2 linked regions of the Yarrowia lipolytica genome follow. The protein of the gene in region 1 interacts with the protein of each later gene in a biochemical or structural test. Links are inferred from orthologs where the notes say so. Each region holds a gene or a part of one and is shown on either strand. Other genes may lie near its edges.

Evidence for each region.
Region 2: the proteins of YALI1_E04613g (region 1) and YALI1_A03183g form a complex in vitro, tested with the Saccharomyces cerevisiae proteins (4 studies listed by BioGRID, with this or other methods). The link is inferred for Yarrowia lipolytica from reciprocal best matches to the Saccharomyces cerevisiae genes TIF35 and TIF34.

What each region holds. Positions count from the first base shown.
Region 1 is NC_090774.1:459,942-463,269, reverse strand, and holds YALI1_E04613g (uncharacterized protein), read left to right. Parts: upstream 1-1,932; coding exon 1,933-2,817; downstream 2,818-3,328. Other genes in the region: YALI1_E04629g (uncharacterized protein), read right to left, coding at 1-272. UniProt on the Saccharomyces cerevisiae protein: RNA-binding component of the eukaryotic translation initiation factor 3 (eIF-3) complex, which is involved in protein synthesis of a specialized repertoire of mRNAs and, together with other initiation factors, stimulates binding of mRNA and methionyl-tRNAi to the 40S ribosome.
Region 2 is NC_090770.1:316,665-319,944, reverse strand, and holds YALI1_A03183g (uncharacterized protein), read right to left. Parts: upstream 1,583-3,280; coding exon 569-1,582; downstream 1-568. Other genes in the region: YALI1_A03170g (uncharacterized protein), read right to left, coding at 2,084-2,869. UniProt on the Saccharomyces cerevisiae protein: Component of the eukaryotic translation initiation factor 3 (eIF-3) complex, which is involved in protein synthesis of a specialized repertoire of mRNAs and, together with other initiation factors, stimulates binding of mRNA and methionyl-tRNAi to the 40S ribosome.

The DNA of each region.
Region 1 (3,328 bases):
TCCTCGGTTTCGGTCCGCACCAGAGCGGCCGGGTGAATGTCACGAAACTGCACGTTGTCGTCGGCCTCGTCGGAGGCGGAATTGAATGCCGACGAGTGAGAGGCGGCTCTTGAAGTGCCTGTTGGCGGAGTATGGGGCAACGCCAAGGAATGTTTTTTCGGAGAAGTGCCTGCGCTGTCAGGCGCGCTGTTGATGCCGGAGTTGGAGTTGTTAGCGCTGCCGCCCGTGGCGTTGTTCAGAAGCGACCCCACATATTCTCGTATAGCTGCCATTGTCCAGACCTATGGGTCTCGCAAGTCTTGTATAGCTGTTCCAGCGGGGCGCAGCTAAACAGTTTATGCCAGACTAGCTCAGCTCAAGAGCTAAAAGGCGCTTGGTTTTGTGCGGCGCGTCCAGATGGAATTCCAACTTTGAGACCTAAAACACATCCGCAGTTCCAGCCGTCACAGTGCGGTTTTTTGTTCTCAGATCATGTGTCGTTCTAAGTATAAACAGTCTGTTGGTTCATTATCGAAATGTACAGGAAAGTAACATCTTCAGCACTATTTATCACTCTTTGCTAGCCCTCCATGGTCACCCTCTCGCTGTCCGAAGCTTAGACTTCCCATTTAGTGCCGATGGTTCTCTAAGAAAATGATGTACCCACCGTAAGAGACAAAAAGTGGACCATGCAGCCTCCAGTACGAGTATATTGCCGTATCAGCAATTAAATCCGCGGTGAGGAGAAGGCAGCAGCGGGGTAGATATTATCGGTTCTTGTACTGTGCCGTATGTTACGTCGGAGCCTCTCGTGCACGTGGCAAGTCAGCCCATTGTTCCTCTGCACGCGACTCCCTCTCCCCAAGGCTGATGATGATCACCGGGGGAGGCAACAGAGACCTTGCTCTGAGACAGCCCAGCCGTTGAACCCGTCCCTGATTCTTAGTAGAAAACCGTCCCCGCCAGGGCCTAGGAGGTAATATAGTAGCCACTCCTCCCACTCACACCCTGATCATTGCGTACGTGGTTACCTTGCTTCGCTTAACAAACTTTGGATTCTTATCTCCTCTAGACTCACAATCGATTGCCAACCTTGCTGCTCGTATCCATCAAAAGGCTACTTGGACACACAAGAACAGTCCATGTGCAGGTATGCGTGTGGATCGGAGGGTCAACTGACGATATCGGAGCAGTAGACTTCATAAATCTGACTTGAGACGATTTATAAGGGCGGTATAATCCAGTACCTACCTCACTTTTGAATTTACGCCAATTACTGTAGACCCAAAATCGAGGCAGCAATAGTTCTAGAACTGCTTCACTTCCGACGTTTTGCTTCACATGACACAAGAGACATTCTTCTGCTGGACAAACTGTAGGTACGTACTTCCTGTAATGTAGCTACAGTAACCTACACGTGGTGTCCTGGCTGTGCTTGTACATACTGTACAACGGGGTGATCGCAGTTTACTCTTCAGATCACCAATCTCGTCTTACAACTACGAGAACTGTACTTTACATATAGATCTCGTCGAGGGGCCGGGAGAAATATGCCATAATCCTGTAGATAATTTACGGCATCACAAGTACCGGTACAAGTATCCAAGACATTTATTTTCCCCACAGTTGCTGTATATAGCTGGACAGTGTTACATTTGCATATGACGCTACCTGGAATCGAACACACAACCATTGCTACAAAACTCGTACATTGCAGGCTGGGAGAAGTTCGAATCACGTGAAGCTAGATCTCAGATGGGTGCAAAATTAGCCCAAAACCACTGTTGAGATGAATTTTCATATAACAAAAGAAGGGTTGTTGTTAAACCCCATATGCGAGTGTCAAAATAGTCTCTGCCATCCATAATACCCACTACTTACCCAATATATCCCTTATGTACTGTTAGCCCTTCTCACAACTCTAAAGCCAGGGTAACTTAGTTGGTGAAAAATATGCAGACCTTCCATCATCAAGACACAGGTTCAGAAGACTTTCGACAGAACACAATGGACGAAAAGTGGGCCGACGACGACGAGTTTTCTACTCCCCAGATCACACAGAACGCCGATGGCACCAAGACCATCGTGACTCATCGAATGGATGATGGCAAGAAGTACAAGCGGTCCGTCACCATCAAGAACCAGAGCGTGACAGAGAAGGTGCTCAACTGTGTTGCTGAGCGATCCAAATGGACCAAGTACGGCAAGGAGCTTGGAGCTCCTCCTGGTCCCAACCGAATGACCACCACCATTGGAGAAGATATCGTCTTTGTGCTTGGCCTTAAGTCTGATCAGCCCGAGGAGGAGGTTGAGGAGGAGGAGGCAGCTGCTGCCGCCCCTCGTGTCGGAGAGGACAAGGGAGTCAAGTGTCGACTTTGTCAGGGCCCCCATTTCACCTCGAAGTGTCCTTACAAGGAGACTCTTGGTGGATCCACAGCTGCCGGAGGCATGGGTCGATCTCTTGGTGGAGACGAGCCTGCTGGCGCTGCGAAGACTGGAGGCTACGTTCCCCCTCATCTTCGAAACAAGGGTCCTGGTGGTCCTGGTGGTCCTGGCGGTGCTGCTGGTGGCCGAAGCGACGACGACGACGAGCTCACTCTCCGAGTTACCAACCTGTCGGAGGAGGCCACAGACGACGATCTGCGACGAATGTTCGGCAAGTACGGTATGATCAACCGAGTCTACGTTGCCAAGGACCGAGATACCGGCCGACCCCGAGGCTTTGCCTTTGTTACCTACACACTCAAGTCACACGCTCAGGCTGCTCTCGAGGCCATGGATGGTCATGGTTTCGACAACCTGATTATGAAGGTCGACTACTCCAAGAAGAGAAACTAGAGTGGATGGAGGATGCCACAAAAAGGGGAGACGGCCGCTACGGTTGTAAAAATAGTTCTGTTAATACAGTTTGCATGGTGAATGATATGAGCGGGAGTAGTTGTAGAGTGGGAACGAGATGGCATGGTGGATATTAGAAGTGGTTGCCATTTCTGTAATTTGAAGTTGGTCTAGCTTGAAGCTTAGAGATTAGTTCAAGGATTGAAGCTCCTCGGTTGTAACTGTTACAGGCACAGGGTGCAGCTCTACACATTTTGGTACATACTTGGTACAAGTAGTAGCTACCTATAGTGTACTTACACTGTGACTGACAACTGGTATACTTCTACTCAGGTAAGATACCGTATAGGACGGTCATGCATTAAGTGAGTAACTATGTCAGAGTCGAGAATTCTCTAGATCAAGCGCAGAGAGAGAGATTACTCACTAGCTCTCAGTAGCATACGGTACAGTGTACATACCATAATTGTTAGCAGATGGATACCAGAGGTACAGTACATACTATGAGAAG
Region 2 (3,280 bases), on another chromosome or scaffold:
CAACGGTAGGGTAAGAACTAGGAGGATGTGATTTCACAGAGTAAGAACGAACCCCAGTCACGAGTTGGACTGTTGTTTCGGTCGTCGCTATACATATAAAAGATACATATACAGATATGAGTGGGTAGTGTGTGCACCAACGTGTGTCTCATGATGCAAGTTTATGGCAAGAAGATGTTTTATATTGCTATTCTCTCCTGTTTATGAGTTTCTTCATCACCAACGATAGTATATGTGTATATCACAGCAAATACACCTCAAATACTAAGTGGAATCGTTTCTTGACCTTTCACACAGTTGATTGTACCCTGCGACAGTCTTCTGACCTTAGCTATTTGTAGCTTCTAGTCAACTTGCCTTCAATCAGAGCTACACTAGACACTGCATTCGACTCTCGTTTCTATATCTATCTTTGTCGAGTTTCAGCACCAGTCATCCACAACAGCTAACATCTTCGTCAAATTTCTCATTGTACATTCTTGCAGGCTTTTCTTTATCTCATTCTCTTACATACTAAAGAGCTGGCTTCGCAGACCTTTCTTTTTTATCCATCTATAACACCTACCATTTACTCCTTAGCAGCAAACCGCTCGACATCGTAGGTGAAGTCAAAGTAGGAGGGGTCAAAGTGGTGGATTCGGATGTATCCCTCCTCTCCTCCAGAGGCGTAGGAGCCGCCATTGGGGTGGGCAACGACACAGTTGAGGGGACCGAAATGGCCCTTGACTCGGCCAACCTCGTCCTCAAAGATCTTGTGGTAGAATCGGGCCTCAAACTTACCATCTCGAGAAGAGGTGGTGGTAACATCCTTGGCGTCCTGTCCTCCTCCCAGAATGACAAAGTCCTTCTTGCTGGTGATGCATGCCGAGTTCATGGAAGTATCGGTCTTGTAGGTCTTGAGCAGCTTGAGAGAGTCCACGTCTGTCAGTCTAGCGGTCTTGTCCTTGGAACTGGTGATGACGTAGGTCTTGTCTGGCGAAGGCTGCAGATCGGTGATGGGGAACTTCTCCTCGTGGATCTGTGTGGAAGCAATGAACTCGCCGGTGGCTCCGTCGTACTTGGACAGAGAGCCGTCAGCGTGGGCTGTGATGATGTACTTGCCTCCGTACGACCACACGGCAAACGAAAACTTGTCGGCGCCCTCCTCGGGCTTAATATCCATAATAGGCTCCGTCTCCTGGGTGGCGTTCACGTCGGCCTTGACGTTGAACACGGAAATGCCACCGGGGTAACCCATCATCTTCTCAGACAGAACAATGAGCTTGGTTCCATCAGGGGAAAACTCTACACGCTTGACGGTGGTCTTGAAGTTCCAGCTGTGAATCGTCTTGCCGGTCTTGATGTCCCACAGACGCGCAGTCTGGTCAGCAGAGCCAGTCGCCACAATGGTGGTGGTGGGATCAGCATCCACAGAAAAGTTGGCTCCTCCAGAACCCTCGAGAGTGCCTAGTCGCTCGCCGTTGTGAGAGTACCACACGCAGATGGTCTTGTCTCGGGCGACGGAGAAGAGCAGATCGCCCTCCCGGTTGTACTTGAGCTGGGTCAGGGGTCGCTCGTGGCCTTGCAGTAGAATAGGTCGCATTGTGATGGTGTGTTGGTAAGAGATTTTTCATCGCTTTTTTTATGTCAGTGTTGGAACTTAAATTTGGCTGAGTAAGCGCAGCAACTCAGAGGGACCCGAGGGATTGCATCGAGCGCGTTAAGAGCATCAGATGTCCATTTGTGGCCAAATCAGTCACAATAATTCATTTATTGCGTTTCTTTTTTCCGTCGAAATTCCTCTCATACCCGTAACAAGGATGAAAAAAACGAAAAATTAGAAATTTAAAAAATTTAAAATAAATTGAAAATATACACAGTCTAAAGGTAGACTATCTAAATACAATGCTCGTTCATAAAGAACATGCAGCTAGAATTGAACTAAAACACAAGTCTTGCTGATACGTTGATCGCCCATGACCGCCCTGGCAAGCTATGCTTAGCTACTTGTTCAAATACCTCAATGATGGAGCACATACTTTCTCATTACTCAGTTGTTCACTTTAGTACTTCAATCTTCTCCTCGTACTGTACTCTTACTCGTTTATACTCGCGTGGCAACAACCACATGAGTACCTCGGTCGGCCACCAGCTTGCCCTCAGAATCTCTTTCTTCCTTGGGAGCCTTGGAAACAACACCCTCGATGAACTCCTTCAGTTTGGCCTTCTCAGGCCCGTCCAAAGCAGTGATATAACTGCGAGACTCCCAGTAGTTCCACATGTCCTCGTCCGAGTAACTCAGCTGGTAGGGCAGAATCTTTTCCTGGTAGGGCATCTTGAACCACGTCTGGTTCTTGAAAGAATCCTGCCACTTGTCATGGCGGTACTGCGGAACGTTGACGTCGTATGACCACACCTTTTCGGTGGAGATCTTCTGCCAATGAGACGGAGACAGCTTGTCTAGCACCTCAATGTTCCAAATGAACACGAGCTTTCCTCCAGGCTTGGTAATTCGATGCAGCTCCTCAAGCGACTTGTGGTCGGCAAACCAATGGTATGCCTGCGCCACAATGACAGCATCGGCCCATTGGTCTTCAATGCCAGTCTCGTAGGATGATCCGATCTTGGCTTCGACCTGGGGGAAGTTCTTCTTGAAGGAGGTCAGCATTCCCTCGCTGGGCTCGACCGCAACCAGATCATAGCCATTGTTGATGATCGACTTGGTGAACTTGCCGGTGCCCACGGCCAGTTCCACCACCTTGGAGCCCTTGTGCAGCCCAGCAGTGTCAATCAGCCACTTGACGGCATCCTGCTGGAACGAAGGCCGAGCCTTGTCGTAGAGCTCGTGGTTGGCGTTGAATGAAGAGAGAGACGTGGCGTTGACAGACATTGATGGAGAGATGATGATGAAGGAGAGCGGGAACTAACCCTTATATCGTATTGGTAGCTTGTTAGTGTTGGCTCCACCACAGTTGATCCGACGGATTAACTTTGGGGAGAGCATACAGTTGCGGGGTTGTGCATGGGTGGGTTGATATCTCGTGATGTAGAGCAGGTGTGGAAAATCCGAAAAGTGCATTCTACTCGGAAGGACTCACTTTATCATTTTACAAAGTGACAGGTTGATCTATTTATCATTCATCCTACTTGAAGATTCGGATCCACTTCGCTTCACTCAACAAACTCACCGGTTCGGAAAGCCGTGTCTGAAGCGGTTGGGAGTAGGTTTAATTTCAATTAAAGGGGATTATCCATAATTATTAATTAATTCGTATTAATTCGTATTAAATTGGGTAAAATC